2 linked regions of the Kluyveromyces lactis genome follow. The protein of the gene in region 2 purifies or fractionates together with the protein of the main gene of each other region. This does not show direct contact. Links are inferred from orthologs where the notes say so. Each region holds a gene or a part of one and is shown on either strand. Other genes may lie near its edges.

Region 1 (8,346 bases), on a different chromosome or scaffold from region 2:
TTTTTCTGTTTTCACTCTCTAGCTTTCAACGGTTTTTCTATTTAGGGTTATCTGACTAGCAACTAATGGAAAAATCTGGGTAAATTAACAGTAGGTAGTACACATATTTATAAACGTTATACACGTGATTAATTTACACTGATTCTACAATGCAAATACTCGGATTAGTGAGCTGAATAAAGGCTTTAAAGAGCTTCAAATAGAAAAATTGATCATCTCTAAGAAATGGGGGTGGATGCCTTACTACTGTATCAGCCATTATCTTGCATTACCCCCTAATATCCAACCACCAGAACTGTTTATATCGTCATCACCGTACAAATCTAGAGTGAACTTAGGTTTGTTGTAAGTAGGCTTTTTGGAACCTGGTTCTTCATTACTTCTGTCTTGCTGCGTGTGGTCCATTTCTATTGTAGAAACACTTTCCGACCCTGACCTGTTCTGTGTTGAATCTTCGTAAATTTGTATATTTAATTTATTCTGCGAGGTTGAGTTGAGCTCTTTGAGAGGGTGAAGTTTGCCTGATATAAGGGTATTCGATGATTCGACATCAGAAGTTCCTGCAATTGTTTCATCCTCGTGAGATGAAATACAGCCAGACATTAATAAATCTTCTTCGTCTGCTTCCAAAGATGGTATTTTTTTGTTGGGATGGAAACTCAATGCTAATCCGAACTTATCAGAAAGTAGCTCATGATTCAGAAGAATCGGTTTCTTTCTTACTTCTTCGAATGATTTGTTGATCAGATCTTTACCGAACAAGGAACTGCTTGTATTGTTACTGGAGTTATTTTGCCCTTGGGCTTCAATTTTCGGAGCTAGTAGCTTGGAAAAGGTTCCAGGCAATAAACTTAAATTGTTCAACGAGGAGTTTGAGCTGTTGTTACTTGTGGATGGGGATGATATTCTAGAATAGAACACAGGTGGAATTAACCCATGTGAGATGTTACTTGCTGAAGATGAATTTCCAATCTTTCTTCTTTGTGGTGCTGTAATATTATCGGACCCATCACCATCGAAGTGGCCATCATGAACATAGATATTAGTGTATCTATCGCTACGTAGAGAGTTTTGCGTTGGCGAACAAATTTCATCCTCCATATTTTCTAGACTTGGGGGCTCATCTTCTCTCGGTTCCGTAAAGGGGGCTTCCAAAGTAGAGTCTATTAAACTGATGGATCTAAATCTTCTGGTGGCTGAACCCTGCGATGGATCCTTGTTCTGTGTTTCGTTATCAGAAGCATAAGATGAAAGCTTACTTGGAGCATAAAAACTCAATCCGTCGTCATCTTCATCATCATCATCATCATCATCATCATCATCATCATCATCATCATCATCATCATCATCATCATCATCATCATCATTACCGTCATTATCGTCAGCCTCGTCATCTGAACTAGCCTGATTTCCAGAGAAAGGATTATTAGTTTCCGAACTCTGGAATTTTGTTGCTCTATTAGATTTTCTGTTGATGGATAATGATCGTATTCGTACAGATTTGTCCTTATTAGAGGTAAGTATACTATTCTGGAAGCTTAATATCGAAGATGAGTTTCTGGTCAATGGAGTATCATCTTCACTGTCAGTTGGGGAAAAGGTTTCTGATGACGTCAAAGATTTTTTGTTCTTCAAAGAGGTGTTATTTAAGGCCTCTAATGACTGTTCAGATAAGTATGTCGTCAATGGCTTGTCAGACAAAATTGTTAACAACGCCTTAACTCCCGTATTATTCGTAACAACAATGACACAATCACAGTTCATCGGCGACACTTTATGAGAAAATTTGTCGTTTAACCGGCGGTAATATTCCTTAAACGGGGTGGTTGATTTGGATATCATATTATAATTTTCTATTTGATCAAAGTCAACGCAACAAGAGTGCAACATTTCTTTCGAAAGGAAAGTGGTAAACCATTTCAAAGAGGTTGGAGTGACTTTTATTTTATAATTGATATGACATCTTTCGCCAAGAGTTTCTTTTAGTTCCGTCCAAACAGTCTCTATCAAAAACTTGACTGTCTCTACGTATCTCAATGAGCCACTAGAAGAAATTTCCAAATGGAAATCAAAATCGCCTGCGAGTTGTCTTGAAAGTGTCCAAAGTTCATCATTTTCACCTATTATACTCTTCAAAATTTTATCTCTCAGCCTATGCAACTTAAACTTTTTGTTTATTCGAGAGAGCCTGTTATCCTTAAGCTCATCATTATAATAATCAATCGTTGGGATATCGATGTAAAGATATACGTTAAAGTTGCTCATGATCGGCGTCAACCGATCACAATATGAGATGAGATACAAAGAATCGACATTCTGTACTCGAACCTTTGAAGGTTCATGAACCTGCTGGTTCCATAACCGTGATGTTATATTAGTGGAGGAATCCATTTATTATAGTAATCCGTTGGAGATGTATTTGCATAAAATCAAGGATGCCTCAATAATCGGATTATGAATGGGTGTAGTTGAATCATAAGAAGAGAAAGACGCAGACTTACAGGATCTGATTTGCAGCTCAGAACCAGTAGAATAAAAGCAATAGTGATATGTAACAAATTCTCAAACTAGGAAACCTAATCTGCTTATTAATTTTGACCTTTAACCAGCGATAATTGAAGTTGCACCAGTAAATGAGTCAAATCAAACCAAACAAAAAAGTATACTAATTCGAAGACAACGTGAATAAGAAAACAAGGAAACCACAAGGTCCTTCAGCAAAGTTAGCAGCGATAAAGGTACTCTCCTTTGCGTTAAAATAGGAAAAAAAAAATAATGCAGTGGTGTCAAGTAAGGCGAAATCAGCTTCTCGTTCTCCTCTTTCCACAACTGCTGTTTTATGTTCAAGCTTTCACCTTTTCTCGTTCCTGACTTATACCTAGTTTCAGTTTTTTTTTTCTTTCTTCTTTCTTTCTTCTTCCGCTTTAGTTTGAGCGCTGACACTTCAGGTCACGTGACGAGAATTTTTGGACCCTCGTACATGTTTAGCATGACACAAAACGTGATAGGACTTAAGGAAGAGCATCGTACTATACCCCTGCGAGCATCTAATATGGCGGGAAAACTGTATCAGTAGACAAACGGGAACTGTTAGCTTTACTATATTTACATACATATAGTTCATATGTGCTTTGCGATCAACGGTAATTTTTTGTAAGTAAAAGCAGCCAAGACGAAATCAAGCAGATAGTGACATATTTCATTATATAAAATCTCGATATGATAACGATGTATTTCTCACACAAGAAGATATCAGCCATCGTTGTATAAAGAAACCAAGAGGCGAGCGTATAATACACGCTGGACCCAGTTCGCTACTGAATACGCATCATTGCAGTATAAAATGGAGATCAAGAGCAAACTGGACGGTATTGAACCTACACAGGTAGATAGAGCCATTTTAGAGAGTCAAAAAGCAAAAAGTGGTTCCTATAGTCCATATTCAAAATTTAGGGTCGGATGTTGCATACTGACAAAAGATGGTACTTATATCACAGGAAGCAATGTGGAGAATGCTACGTATGGAGCCACCATATGTGCAGAAAGAGCTGCTATCGTGAAAGCTGTCACAAGCTCCCACAGAGCAGATTGGGTTTGTGTCGCTATCAACAGCGATATGAGAGATAATTACATTCCGCCATGTGGAATCTGTCGGCAAACGATCAGAGAGTTTGGAAAAGAAGATCTGCCAATAATAATGACAAACTGCGACACCTCTGTCAAAAAAATTATGACCCTCAATGAACTATTGCCAGAAAGCTTCGGCCCAGATCACTTTCATAGGTGAGCTAAGATTCGACTCTTTTTTGTGCAAGATTTGAACTTTTCCATAGTAAGAAACGAAATCAAAAATCAAGAAAGTTCTATATAGTAATTATTCATTAGCGTTTTGAGAGAAAGTTAAGAAAACATGCCTTTGGAAAACACCTTCTCATAAGCTAGCTACTTAGGATCAGAAGTAACCGCCAGTTAATCAAAATTTTCTAAGCACTATTCTCTCAATCGCCCTAAACCGAGGTTGTTCCTAAGATATTTAGAAATGTGTCATAGATAATGCGGAGTCTTCGCACTGTAGAATTAAAAGAAAAGTATGACATTTAAACTCATCTGACTTTTCAAATAAAATTTTTTGTTTCGACCTTTAATAAAGAACATGAGAACGAGATGCGATGAGAGAAGCTCAGATACAGCTCTTTCTACTCCTCTCTCTCACTTATTTATACCAAACGTATTCCAAGTGATATAGAAGGTGTTTCTGAACTGCACTTACTGACATAGCAGCTGTAAATCTTGGAAGACACTAAGAGGAAAAAATGCAGGAAAAAATCGCTAATGTCCGTTGTTCTAGTCTACAATGTGGTAAAGTTACAGATTCGATGTTAAAATGCCCGATTTGCTTGAAGCAAGGTATTGAAGAGGTCTTTTGTGGAGAATCTTGTTTCAAAGACGGGTACAAACAGCATAAGGCTTTACATTATGGTACAGATGGTTCTGGTGAGGTGTATGATCCGTTTCCAAAATTCAAGTATACTGGCAAGCTGAAAGCTCAATACCCTCTGTCGCCAAAAAGACAGGTCCCAGATGAGATCGAGAAACCAGATTGGGCAGAAAATGGGCTACCCATCATCGAACAAAGAAATGATAGAACAAACAAGATTCCTGTCTACAATAAGGAGCAAATTAAGAGGATCAGAAAAGCTTGTGCTCTAGGTAGAGAAGTGCTAGATGTTGCGGCCGCCGCAGTTAGACCAGGTATCACTACGGATGAAATTGATGAGATAGTGCATAACGAGACTATCAAGAGGGGAGCATACCCATCTCCTCTCAACTACTATAATTTCCCTAAATCCGTCTGTACTTCTGTGAACGAGATTATCTGTCATGGTGTTCCTGACAAATATGTTCTAAAAGAGGGAGATATTGTCAATTTAGATGTCTCATTGTATTACCAAGGCATGCATGCAGATTTAAACGAAACTTACTACGTTGGTGAGACTATCGCCAAGGATGTCATAAATACCGTTGAAACTGCCCGTGAATGTTTGAAACTCGCCATCAAGATGTGTAAACCAGGCGTAACTTTTCAATCCTTGGGAGACTGCATTGAAAAGCACTCCAAATCCAACAAATGCTCTGTTGTTAGGACTTACTGTGGTCATGGTGTCGGTGAGTTTTTCCACTGTGCCCCCAGCATTCCACATTATGCTAACAACAGAACGCCCGGTGTCATGAAACCTGGAATGGTCTTCACTATAGAACCTATGATTAACGAAGGTGTATGGCAAGATATCACCTGGCCTGACGATTGGACTTCTTCAACAAAGGATGGTAAAGTTAGTGCTCAGTTTGAGCAAACCCTTTTGGTCACCGAGAATGGTGTTGAAGTCTTGACGGCAAGGAACAAGAAGTCTCCAGGCGGCCCAAGAAATAGGATAAAATAGACCCAGTGAAATGACAATAGTTAAAAAATGAATATCAATAGAGAAAGTTACTGTTTACCTCGTTTCGTATAGGAAACAATCCATAAAACAGCCATCATCGTCGTCATAACGGACATCATTTCGGCATAGTCTTTCATGTGAATAGATTCAATACATATCATCATATAAATCAATTTACAGAAGACCAAAATATTTAGAGAATTCTCATTGAAAACCACTATTAGTATTTATTATACTGAAGATGTGCGGTCCTACTAAAGTATAATCTTCATCATCTTTGCATAAATATGAGGATCACGACAGCATGGATTGTTGCTTTGCTTCAATAACCGGGTAACCATTAGCTTTCGCCACTTCCAAAGAAAAAAAATTAATCGAAAACAGTGATCTAAGTTTTCTGATGGAGAAAGTAAAGCTTTTAATTATGGCTAACGTTCGGTGTTGAAGAAGAATAACATTCAAAAGAGTGAAAGATACTGTTGCATTTTCGTCCACAACGTTGATTCTAATAGAACCGAAATCAATCTATACTCTCTAATATTTAGTTGTGATATTCATTGCAGTCAATTGCTTGCATCTTATTATCCAGATCAAAAGTCATAATTTGACAATACCAATTACGTGCAGTGCATAATAGAGAGAAAGCAAGATAATTATGTCAGTTCAGTTGTTAAATCCAAAGGCCGAGTCCCTAAGAAGAGATGCTGCTTTAAAAGTCAACGTCACTTCAGCGGAGGGTCTTCAATCCGTTTTGGAAACTAACCTAGGACCTAAGGGTACTTTGAAAATGTTGGTCGATGGTGCCGGTAATATCAAGTTGACCAAAGATGGTAAAGTCCTATTGACTGAAATGCAAATACAGTCTCCGACTGCTGTCATGATTGCTCGTGCAGCCACTGCCCAAGATGAAATTACTGGGGACGGTACTACAACCGTTGTCTGCTTGGTGGGAGAACTGATGAAACAAGCTTATAGATATATTCAAGAAGGTGTCCATCCAAGAACAATTACTGACGGGTTTGAGATTGCAAGAAAGGAAACCTTAAGTTTTTTGGATACCTTCAAAATCGAAAAGAGCGCTGAGGAGGATTTGGATCGTGAATTTTTATTGCAGGTTGCCAGAAGTTCCTTATGTACTAAAGTCAACCCAGAACTCACTGAAGTTTTAACACCAATCGTCACTGATGCTGTTTTGGCTGTTCAAGATCCTAACAACAGAAATCTAGATTTACACATGATTGAAATAATGCAAATGCAACATCTATCTCCACAGGATACCACTTTTGTTAAAGGATTAATTTTGGATCATGGAGGAAGACATCCTGATATGCCAACCAGAGTCGAAAATGCACATGTTTTGATTCTAAATGTTTCTTTGGAATATGAGAAGACGGAAGTCAACTCTGGTTTCTTTTACAGCTCTGCTGACCAACGAGACAAGTTGGCTGCTAGTGAAAGAAAATTTGTTGATGAGAAATTAAAAAAAATCATCGACTTGAAGAATGAAGTATGTGGTATGGATTCTAAAGAGGGTTTTGTTATCATAAACCAAAAAGGTATCGACCCAATGTCATTAGATGTTCTTGCTAAACACAACATTCTTGCTCTAAGAAGAGCCAAGAGACGTAATATGGAAAGACTACAACTCGTCACTGGGGGTGAAGCTCAAAATTCCGTTGATGATCTTTCGCCTAAAATTTTAGGTTATTCCGGATTGGTTTACCAGGAAACTATCGGCGAGGAGAAATTTACTTACGTCACCGAAAACAGAGATCCTAAGTCTTGTACCATTTTGATTAAAGGTTCTACTCACCACGCTTTGACCCAAACCAAAGATGCAGTAAGAGATGGTTTAAGAGCTGTTGCAAATGTCATCAAAGACAGTGCTGTCGTTCCTGGCGCTGGGGCATTCTTCATTTCTGCTTCCCAGCACTTGAAAAGGGCGAATATGAACAAGCTAGGCGCCAAAGGTAAAGCAAAAACAGGTGTACAAGCCTTTTCAGACGCACTTTTGTCTATTCCTAAGACATTAATAAAGAATTCCGGATATGATGCCCTTGATGTACTTGCCCAATGCCAAGACGAGTTGGAAGAAGATGAGACAAGAATAGTGGGTGTTGATCTAAATATTGGCGACTCTTGTGATCCAACTATAGAAGGTGTTTGGGACTCTTATCGTGTCCTCAGAAATGCAGTAACTGGTGCCGCAGGTATAGCCTCTAACTTGTTGCTATGCGACGAACTACTCAGAGCCGGTAGATCTACATTGAAGGAAGGTCCACCACAATAATGAAGCTGGTACAATTAAAAAATATCACTGTCTTTAACGTAGGTTCCAAAATCAAATAGAATTATGTATACTAAATGGAAATAAATACGAAGTACAAGACTCAAGTTTGGCCGATGTATATGTAATATGCGATCTCTTCACGAGTGCTATAGATCCAAATCTACGTGTTGGCCAAATACCGTTTCCATCACCGAAAACGAAATACTAATATACTTCAAAAAATGATTAAACATCAAAACTGGAAGCACCTTTATAATAAACAGACACACCAAAAGTACAGAAAGTACGGACGAGAGTGAAGTCATTGACTGCAAACCATTGAACAGCATACCTCATCGGGATCACATATATACCAGAGTAATATGCTGAATTCAGAATTGTCCTTAAGAGACAGACAGATTCTGTCTATTGAAAAGATGCTACTGTTCAATTCAGATAAAGGAACGGAAGCAGCAACAAGCAATCTTGATGAACAAGAGATCGTTTGGAAAGTACTGATCATGGATGCTAGGAGCACCGCTATAATATCATCTGTTATGAGAGTCAATGACTTGTTAAAATCCAATGTTACAGTTCACGCCCTTATCACACAACAGAGATCCCCTTTACCTGATG
Region 2 (11,419 bases):
CTTTTGAATAAATTAATGTATGAGTCGTCTTCGATCCCATCTTGTAACGGAACGTTCAATGCAAAATGCTTACCTCTGGAGCAACCTATCTCATCCAAATCACCTGTACCTGGAAAGAATTCGCCGTTATACTTATGGAATGAAACAGTGAACACACGGTCAGTAGTGTAAAACGCTTCCTGTACACCGTCACCATGGTGCAAATCTATATCGATGTATAACACTCTCGGGTGATACCGCAGTAGATTTACTATGGCTAACACGATATCGTTAACGTAACAGAAACCAGATGGATTGTTCTTTTTCGCATGATGTAGACCACCAGACCAATTGATAGCTATTTCACTCTGACCATTAAGTAGCTTTCTAGAAGCATCTAACGATGCCCCAGCATATAAGGCAGCATAATCAAACATTCCTTGGAAGATAGGACAATCGTCACCAATGTTGAATTTCTCGAGTGACCCTCGAGGAAGTTTATTCAATGTATCTGGTGTTACCTTCGCTAAGAAATTGACATAGTCCTCAGAATGAAATTTTGTTAACTCATCCTTTGTTGCTGACCTCGTCTCATATAAGTCCATCACTTTGTGTAACCCGTATGCCGAAACCAAATGGTCGGTAAGCATAAGCCTAAAAGGTTTCATTGGATGCTTGACACCGTAATGATATTGTGATACCTTCGAATTGAAGTGGTACGAGACTCTGGGACTATAGGAAGTCCCAAAATCACAATCAAACAATGGCTTCTCAGCTTCCGTTTTCTCATCAAATTTAAGTGTATCCGATGACATCTTATGAAAAGGATTCCGCTACCACTTACCCGTAATGAATAACTGCCACTCAGCCAGAATTGATACTTGGTAGCTACAATCTGCAAAGAGTTGGGTATTGGCTCGGTCGATTGTCTATTCGACCTTTCCGTACTTTATTTATGTGTTGTTCTGTTATTACTGTATTTTCAAATTCCATGTTTTTTTATTCCAAGTGGATCAGAACCATAAACTCCGTACATCACATGAACCAATCACGTGATAACAACGTATCAAGATGAAGGATGTACCCCACAATTCTAAAGAGAGATCAGCATCGTTGCAGATTCACGTATAATACACTGGTAAAGCCCTTCACTTTCCTGCCAGTTTGGAGCCTGTGTATTCCCCTGTTCACAACGAATTCCTACCTAGATCAAACTCGGATTTGAAAATAAAAAATCCCAGCTTCATCACGAAATACACCATCTTTTTAAGACAGAACCATTGTTAAACGTGGATGGAACTGAGAGGAAAAGCCGGCAATTTATATATAGTTTCATGACATTGTAGGCACAGAAAGTTTGTGAAAGTTGTGGTGATCGAAAAAAATATACGGATTTGTTATATCTTGTCTGGAGCCAGAGATATTGACGTCGGCGGTTGTTTTTTTATTGAGTGGAGTAACAAGGTGAAACGAAACTGAATATAGCTGCGTCTCGAAAGAAATTGTCCGAGCAGTGAAAGGAGTGAAACTGGTATTATGTCTTTGAATTGGGGGTTAGTTGATTTTATGTTGGACAACTATGCGTCCATCACTGCATCCCCGATCAATGGTAGCTTACACGACATTTATGTCATTTATTCCATGTTCATGCAAAATTTCCTATGGAAGAATAACGAATGTGGTGAGACGTATTACCAGTTTTGTGAAGATTTGAATAAAATTTCAGAAGTATGTGGTGGTTGCATGAATTTTGAAGATGATAGTGGCGGGAATATTTTTGGCCAAAAGATTTCATTTGTTGATGGGGACTCCTTGAAAATATTGCAAAAAGTTCATTATGACCAAGCTATTAAATTGTCATTATCACATACTGGCAATAAAGCCAAGCAGATTGCGATCGATAAAGATTCTGTTCAGGTTAAAGAAAGAAAAATTGAAAGCGAACCCATATTATTAAATAAGTTGATGGGCATTTTGGACCAGAGTGAAATTGTAACCCCTAATGCTAAGTGTCTAAGACACTTAAATCAAATCCTCTCGTTAGAACTCGGATCCACTAAGTTATCTAAAGAACAGGCAAAATTAAACACTAAGCGATCACCTTTCATACCAATATGCTCAGATCCGAAACATGTGTCACTACTATCCACCGTCATCAATACTGTTAACAACAAAATCATGTCTTTGCAAGGTGAAAAATTAAAGAAGATTGAAGCTGATTGTCCGGATATTATCGAATGTTCGAACACGCACATTCATTTCATACCAAATTTAAAGCCACAGACGGATCTTTCGTTGGGAGATTGTTCGTATTTGGATACTTGTCACAAGTTAAGTACCTGCAGATACGTCCACTATCTGCAATATTATCCTGAATCTCTCCAAAAACAGAAAATTGAAGAACAAAAAGAGCAACGCAAGCAGTATTCGTTCTATACGCATGGAGAGTGCTGTTCTTCATCGTTTAAGAAGCTTCTTCCTCCACAATGGATCAAATGTGACGTCAGAAAGTTTGACTTCGATATTCTTGGTAAATTTTCAGCCGTTATTGCAGATCCCGCATGGAACATTCATATGAATTTGCCCTACGGTACTTGCAATGATAATGAGTTACTGCAACTACCATTTGATCTCTTGCAGGAAGAAGGTTTATTGTTCTTGTGGGTAACCGGCCGTGCTATCGAAGTAGGGAAAGAATCATTGCAGAATTGGGGTTACGAAGTAATAAATGAAATATCTTGGATCAAGACAAACCAATTAGGAAGAACAATTGTGACAGGTAGAACTGGCCATTGGTTGAACCACAGTAAAGAGCATTTACTCGTCGGGGTCAAAGGCAATCCGGAATGGCTAAACAGAAAAATAGACATTGACTTGATCATTAGCGCAACTAGAGAAACCAGTAGAAAGCCGGACGAATTGTATGGAATCATTGAAAGACTTGTCGGTACACATGCCCGTAAACTTGAAATTTTCGGTAGGGACCATAACATCCGTCCTGGATGGTTCACGATAGGAAATCAAGTGACAGGCTCATCTATCCATGAAGTGGATGTGAAAAGGAAATACGAAAGATTCATGGAAAAATCAAAGAATTCAAAGACAAACTAAAGATGTAATACTCTCTTTACTTCAAATGTCCTAGCTTTTATTTGTCGATACACAGTATCCATTAGGAGTCTGTATGTGTTCCTTCTTACTTTTCTTCTTTTTTTTAATTTATGTCATACGCCCTTGTAATTACAAACGTTACATTACCCACAAGTTCGTGCTACACTTAAGCAGCAATAGGCAATCTTTTGATTTCCATAACCATGGCTGATCCTACGGGCGTTCTATTAGCCAACGCGCTTGTTTTTTGAATTCAATGCAACAAGCTCTCAGCTTAATCTAGCATTCTATATATTAGGAACGGTGTTTCTGTCCACTACACCAACCCCAGCCGGCAAGTCCCTGCAGCAGCTACTAGAATGACATGCGATGGCTCAGGTTTGCTAAAAACCCAAAATCAATTACCGCCAGGCCGTGAAACAAATATTGTTACCCGGACTTGAATTCCTGAACGTCAATATTACACTGTTTGTCAATATGTATAAAGAGATGCAACAGAAACAGAAAATAAAGTAGGAAGTACTTCTGAATCTGTTGCCAGTGTGAACGGTATCGTATGAGCTACTTGTGGGTTTGTAGTCCCGGCGAGACAGCAACACCATTTAAACAAGGAATAGGAACCTTTTATGCTCAGTGTCCATTACCAGAACTTAAGTCTCTCGTGACCAGCAACCAATCATTTTCATACCGTGTAATGTGATACCGAAATTACAACATCGAAAAAGCATGATCTTTGTCTAGTTTCTCCGTCGTGCCATTTTTGGTTTTTTATATGGAGTGGGATATGGAAATATCGCGAGAGAGATTGTGTTGATGCTAGAAAATTTTGGAGGTAGGAAAAAAAAAATTGTTTAATAGTTAGGAAAGTTCAAGTTATTAAAGCTACTCTTTCCATAATAGAAAAGGTTTTATTGGTAAGTCAAAGTACTTTTTTAAAAGAGATTTTTGTGATTAGTTTTCTTACTGTTTACAATTCATTTTACATTCATTTCGAGTTTGATATCTATTTAACGTCAACTGTGTTTGGTGAATTAATTCCATAAGGATATTCTGTTTCGAAAAGCCAGACCCTAGATATAATCAAAAATGTTCAAACAAGCCATTAGAAGAGCTTCTACTCTACCAAAGTATGCTTTGGAACCAGCTTTCGGTAAGCCAGATTTGGCTGCTGCCCAAGCTTACAAGGACTACATGAAGCACAGTACTGAGCACGCTAAGCAAACCTCTAACTTGTGGGTTAAGATCTCCATATTTGTTGCTGCTCCAGCTATTGCTCTGACCGCTGTCAACACCTACTTCGTTGAAGCTGAACACGCTGAGCACCGTGAACATTTGAAGCACGTTCCAGATGAAGAATGGCCAAGAGACTACGAATTCCAAAACTTAAGACAAAAGCCTTTCTTCTGGGGTGACGGTGACAAGACTTTGTTCTGGAACCCAGTCATTAACAGACACGTCTCTCACGATTAAACACAGTTCGATAAATGATCTCAACTTGTTGGGCTTTGGCCATTCATAATGAAATATCAAGATAGCCCCTGCCTGTGGGTTTTTTTATCTTTTAAAACACCTTTTATCAAATATCCTCAAATTATCTTCAAAAGAATTCAAACATCCGTTTAATCTGGCATTATACTTCAAAATACAACAAACATATGGATAAACTTTATAGTGGAGTTTCCACCATACAAATAATTATTATTTAACTCAAGAAGAATAAACACACTTTTTATCTTTATTGTAAATTCAGTCCTAGAAAAATAGAATAAAACACGTCACACTGTGTCAATGATCATAAGTAGATATAAGTTTCTTCATTATCAATATCTATTGTACTGAATCTGTGACAAGCAGTACATCAACTTCGATATGCTCAGCGTTATGGCAAACGTCTTTAGTAACTCAATACTTACTTTTTTTTCACGAATGATGAATACAAACTGACTTTACGTTCCAAAAACTTTAACTTTACATTGTTCCCCATTGTTAACCGAACAAAAAATAAGGGGAAAACGAAAAGTGATACGCTGGTACAGCGTATATACAACATATATCCAGAATATATCCGGAGCACACTTGAAGCTATGCCCCGAGCTATTAGTTTACCTTCGATATGTTATTTAATTCGACGAGAAAATTAGAGATTATATGTACATATGGATATACGTATGTAAAATGGCAAACTGTAACACTATTGATTACAACTTGATGAGGAGTAAAATTACAATGCCGAGAAGATGAACAAATTATTAGTGGCTGCAATGGCAACACTATTTTCTCTTGGATGCCAAGAGAAATGCAGAATGGATTTTTTGAAATCAATTTCATCACCCCATTCTTTATTTCTCGCACTTTGCTGTTGCAAACTACTCAACCTCTTTGATTTAAATGCAGTCTTATCTGCTTGTAATACAATTTCATCCATTCCAGTAGGTGCTTGATAATCGCCCGTTTTTACTACGTTGGGATAAATCATAAAGTTATTGTTGTATGATCCTGTCATTACACTTGAACTATCACCACTGAAAGCAACTTCGAATTTATCGAATATAGCATCATTTTCATAAGTATCATTTAATCTTTCTTCTAGTTGTTCATGGATATTTATCGTTTTCAATGGCTTATTATCCATGTTAATATCCCATATCTTAACGGTTAAATAATCACGAGATGCAATATAACGACCATCAGGACTGAATTTGACGTCAGATATTGATGAAGTGATTTCTGTGAAAAAATTATGACTTATTGGGTCAAGGTATTCTTCGAACACCTTAGCTCGGTAATCACAAAGAGCATTCTGTCTCATGTCGCATAATTTGATGGTCCCCTTCGATGAAGAATACATGAAAGCATTACACTGTTGAGGATGGAATTCTGCACTTGTAATGACTTCTGTTAGTTCCTCCATGTTGGCTGGTTTAATATCAACAATATTGAATGATTCGTCCGGTATATCTAAATTCCATAAGTTGATTCTCAAATCATCTGAACTGATGAACGTTTCCTGATCTGAATTCAACGATATCGAATTGATGTGATAGGTGTGAGCATTACTATAAATCTTCTTTGGTGCAGCAGCTATAATTCTATCATGTAAGGACAGCTTGGGTAACTTCAAAGTCTGCAAAGACAGTACAGCTCTTGCGCTACCGTTCCCAGCAGAGCGTCTGTGGTAGTCTTTATTTCCCTCTGATAGATTGTTATCACTAACCAATTTGATATTTTTCTCATATATCTTCCACAACTTAATCGTCTTATCGTTTGTACTTAACAAGAAATGCGATTGGTTCGTTGGCCGACACCACTTGATCTGATTAATCTTCTCCTCAATCTCTAAAGATTTCAAATAATCGAATTCTGCATCGTGTGACTGAAATTCCGTTAGAAACTTGTATTCGCAATGCTTTGTATTGTTCCTTTCAAATAAAACTACACGTCCACCTCTATCACCGGTTGCAAGATAATCACCTGTATGATCGAACTCCGACGCCGTTATAATGTCTGCCTCTGTAACCACGATATCTGCTTTATCACCAAAGCATTGACTGAACTTGAAATCGAACCCGTGCTGTGACATATCTCTTACCAACGCTTCCTATCGAGGAATCTAATAAAACACACGCGTCCAATACAGATAAAACAACTGATCCCAGCTAAACTGCTTTTCAGAAATAAAACAAAAGGTTTAAACCAAGTCGAAACAAAAGATGTACACTGGAATTGGCCACCAGACTACAGTAACAGATAAGTATACGCAATCAGATCTTTTTCTTTTCAGTTTTCTTTCAACTGTAGGGAAATCTGATTTTGAGAAAGGGGAATAGAAGTAAAACCCAAAATTCGCACTTAAAACTTGCTATTAACGTGTATTGTGACGAGCTCACCAACAATTACTGTGCTTGGGAACACTTGAATTCTCAAAGACGATTGTAAGGTACCGTGTCAACGGTGTTTTAACTTCAAGGAAGAACCCTTTTTCCTTCTTTACACTTTTTTAACTAGAAAACTTTAATGTTTCCGATTTCCTAAAACTTTTCTTTGGAAGAAAAAAATCAGAATTCGACGATTTCACGATTTTCTTGATAAAAGAAGGAAAAATCGATTGATTTGTGGGTAGAAAACTGCAGGCACTTCACGTGAGAACGGTTGACGGGGTACAGTAAAGCACTTTACGAGCGTCAGAAATGTAACAGTTGAGCTGGCTCTAACAAATAGCGATGCAAATAATAATGCTGTTATTTTGTAGATTTAAAAAAGAGAGGCTAAAAGACGCTTAGAACGATTCGAAGAATTCTTCTTTTTTTGCCTCTGCAATACGTAAATCTAGTAAATGGAAAGGGTTTACCAGAGGATACTTGACTATTTTAAACTTGGGAATATCTAGAGTACGATTAATTGGGGGTACTCTGGGGAAGCTTTGCGAAGGATTTTCAGCGTTAAACAAAACGATAAAAAGGAATACGTGTGTCCAATTGGCAAATTTCTCACTGTAACTATCAATCCAGCTGTCTTACAGTAGAGAAGCAATCAATAATGTGTTCTAAGTTCCAATAAAAAGTAAGAATCATTAACTGAAAACAGACACTTCTTGTTTGTTTTAAAAGGGAAACTATAGCTTTGCAAATGTAGTGAAGAAAAGACTATCAAATGAATGATGTATATTTGCTTTTAGTAATTTGTTGCTGCTCTCTTATTAAACGTTATATGACCAAAAGTGTAGTGAATCTGAGCGTCAAATAAGGGAACTTGATGATTAAAAAAGAAGCAAAGAAACAGCGGCAATTATAATAGCTTGTATCAATTATTCCTGTATGTAACACACTTGCTGCTACAACCGCTTAGGACTCGATTGTGCTGATAGCTCTCTGGTGTGTGTGTGTGTATCTTCCTGACACCTTCGGTAAGTATATCATTCTTTAAGGGGTGGTTCTGTGCATTCTTTCCTTAAATCTGAGTTTTCCCTTTATTTTATTTTTTATTTTTTTTGAATGCTGCAGAAGGACTACGTCAAATTCATTATAATTATCAATAAGGTTCCTATATCCATAGCTTTCACAATAAAAGAGAGTGTGTATATGTATGTATGCATTGACTAGTATAAATATATATATATATATATATATATATTTAGGACAATTCGTGAGTTCGAAGTCTATTCGCTGTTCAAGATTCTGTGTCACTCAGAAGCGTGTCTTCTTCGTTTTGTGACTTAAGTAGCGCATATTTGGACACAAGTTTCCGTAACTGTTCCACGCTTACAGGTTTTTCCAAGACATCATCAAACACCTTAGATTCTTTGGCGTCGTGATAATAGACTGTTAAGGCTACTATTGGTGTCGTGCAATTGACACTATTGGTATGTCTTATAAGTTTTGCTATATCGATTGCGCCTAATTTTGGAAGTTTCATTGCTGTGATGATTAGGTCAAACTTTACGCCTGTTGTGGCACGACGAACCAACTCTTCACCATTTCCAGCGGAAACAACAGAGCACCCAATGCTTTCCAAGTCTTCTGCTACTCTGTATCTATGAATTGGAATAGGTTCACAGAGTAAGACATCCAACTTGTATCTAATACCGTTCGAGTTGGAAGAAGATTTCCGCCCACTACGTCGTCTGAGCTTTCTGACGGTGTTTACCCTTGATAATGCGGAGAGTCTCTCATCATCCTCCGTTGTAGAACCGAAACTATTTCTTGATACTTTCCGTGATTTTGAAATTGAACCCAGAGTGCCGTTTACTGATGGTGGTGATAGTGGAGACTTGAATTTTGATGCTAACGGAGATGACGTCGAAGAACTCCCGTGAGCAGATTCTTCAGTTAGATATGATCCTATGTCCGAAAATCTTTTAGTCGCTGACGGTTGAGGGCTCATGGTGTCGACACTGTTGCGCCTGCTTGGAGAAGCATTCGTATTCCATTTCAGTACTTGAGGAGAGTTAGATCTACGTGTACCCATAGAGGTTGGGACTGATCCCTGTGCACTATTAGCACTTGATTGTTTCAGCTTACCTGAGTTTTCCGAAGAAGAGCTAGATAAAGACGAACTTGAAGTTCTCTGGTGGAGGTACTCCGACAGATGTTCCGATTTCAACCTAGTGATTGCATCTTTATTGGCTTTATCTAAAGCATTTAAGTTTCTGTAGTTAAAGGAGCCGAATTCTGGAGAGGAGTCGTTCAATTTGCTACTACGTCTGTCTCTCATGTGTGGAGGGATAGCGAGCGGTATATGTTTTGTAATCGGTGAATTGTTCGCGGTTGGTGATTCTAAGTTTTGGTTCACCATTTCAAGAACAGAACTTATACTTAATCTTTGTTTTGGAGTGTTTCTACCACTGCTTTGGTCAGACAGTCTCCGATGTAACTGAGAGTCGAGTGATTTTGTACCATTTTTGGCGTCTAGCATCGTATAATCATTATCTTCATCGAAATTCGAAGCAGCAAATTCATCGAGAGACGCTCCACGTAAATCGAAGTACTCAGTGTCTTCAGGATGTTCCACTCGTGGTACAAATGATGGTTGCTCGTCATACACATGGTCCCAATCAACATCTTTGAAGTACGGATGCTCTTTGATCTCCTGAGAGCCACTGGCACCAAGTCTCTTGTTCGGATCAAGCACCAATAACTTAATTACCAAATCTTTTGCATCTGGTGATATGTATTCCATTTCTGTCTCCGCATCAGGGAATTCTGGCCAGCGTATGACACCACCAATTATATTTTCGAAGACTTCATCTACTGTTGTACCATGAAATGGGGGATATCCAAACAAAAACTCAAAAAATATGCACCCAACGGACCACCAATCACAAGTATCACTTTCGCCAGTACCCTTTATAGTTTCTGGCGCGAGATAGTCTGGAGTTCCAAAAAAATTCTTAGATTCATTGGGATTGAATAAAGACAAATCCTTAGGCGAATCGTGGACATTGGTCTCAGAAAGGTTTGAGTTTGTCCTGGAATGATGGTGATGATTTTGGTTGGGAATACTTAGATGATCTGATGTTGACATCAAAGTTGCAGATAAGGGAGGCGTGCCGGAGCGTGAAAGACCAGCCATTGTAAATGAAACGTGGGAACCATTTCTTTTCAAATAAGGTACGTCGGTAACAGTTGATGGAGATTGTGAATGTGCGCTAGAGGATGATTGGGACCTTTAGTCTTTTTGACTAAGTCATAAATATTCTCAGCCGCGCCCGGTACGGATTGTAATGAATCTGTGACAGAATTTTTACGCGTCACAGAGCTATCACAAGTGAAACTGGGATTTCTTGAACTTTGAATTTGGCTGTTACGCCTCTTCTCTTTATGACGACGCAAAAGACCCATACGTGACAACCCAAAGTCTGTCAATTTGATATGACCTAAAGAATCAATCAACAAATTGTCTGGTTTCAAATCATGGTGAATGATACCATTTTGATGCATGTCATCAACACCTGAGATCACTTCACAAATATACTGCTTTGCCCATTTTTCTGGCAAATTACCCATCATTTTAATTAAAGTAGCCATATCTCCTCCGCTCAAGTACTGCATCACCAAAAATAAATTCTCTTTGTTTTGAAACGTTGCATATAATCTAGCAACATATGGCTTATCACTCTGAACCATCATTATTGCGCGTTCCGATTTGACATTCGTTACCTGATTCTTGGCGATCATATCTGATTTCTTGAGTACCTTGATAGCAAAATACTCTCCAGTGACACGCTTTTTAGCAAGGTAGACACTCCCATAGGCGCCCTTACTGATGGGTTTAATCACATCGTAGTCTCGTATCGAAGGAATAATCGATTTACCTGTGGTTGGAAGCAGTAGCGGTGAAAGAGGTTGATTGCGATGTTGATTACTATCAGATAGTTGCATTGCTTCAGAACCGGAAATGAAGGGCGAGAGCATCGGCGAATTGTCAGTGATCGACTTCGTAGTGGATAACGAACCCATGATATTGGCGGAAGAAAAATAATTTGGATTGATTTGAGCACCATTCTGAGTATACGAGGTAGGAGTAGAGAAGTTTACAGGTGATCCTCTTCGAGGAGTGAGACTGATACTACTTGTTAATTTGGGAAGATGAAAATAATTGTTCAGGGCAAACTTAGGAGTAGAAGGATTAGATCGGCTATCCATAGAAGTTTCCAATCCTTCGCCCATTGAAATATCATCAGTAGTTATCTTAGAATCTTGCTCTCCTACTGATTGTTTAGGAGTTACAGATTTAGATGCATGTGCAGAATTTGAACCGGAGTTTTCAAAGTAAGATCTTGCAATGTCAGCATTTGATTTGCCAAATGGATGAGGTTCTGGAATAGTGTCGG

What was found.
Region 1: the proteins of CDC55 (region 2) and CCT6 purify together in Saccharomyces cerevisiae (affinity purification with mass spectrometry, with the first as the bait; 3 studies listed by BioGRID). This does not show direct contact. The link is inferred for Kluyveromyces lactis from reciprocal best matches to the Saccharomyces cerevisiae genes CDC55 and CCT6.

Annotation. Positions count from the first base shown.
Region 1 is NC_006040.1:1,550,642-1,558,987, forward strand, and holds CCT6 (chaperonin-containing T-complex subunit CCT6), read left to right. Parts: upstream 1-6,096; coding exon 6,097-7,731; downstream 7,732-8,346. Other genes in the region: SND1 (Snd1p), read right to left, coding at 259-2,391; CDD1 (cytidine deaminase), read left to right, coding at 3,344-3,787; methionine aminopeptidase MAP1, read left to right, coding at 4,314-5,441; SLY1 (syntaxin-binding protein), read left to right, coding at 8,094-8,346. UniProt on the Saccharomyces cerevisiae protein: Molecular chaperone; assists the folding of proteins upon ATP hydrolysis. Known to play a role, in vitro, in the folding of actin and tubulin. In yeast may play a role in mitotic spindle formation.
Region 2 is NC_006042.1:837,842-849,260, reverse strand, and holds CDC55 (protein phosphatase 2A regulatory subunit CDC55), read right to left. Parts: upstream 6,671-11,419; coding exon 5,312-6,670; downstream 1-5,311. Other genes in the region: histone deacetylase HOS2, read right to left, coding at 1-794; IME4 (mRNA (N6-adenosine)-methyltransferase), read left to right, coding at 1,516-3,090; COX13 (cytochrome c oxidase subunit VIa), read left to right, coding at 4,177-4,560.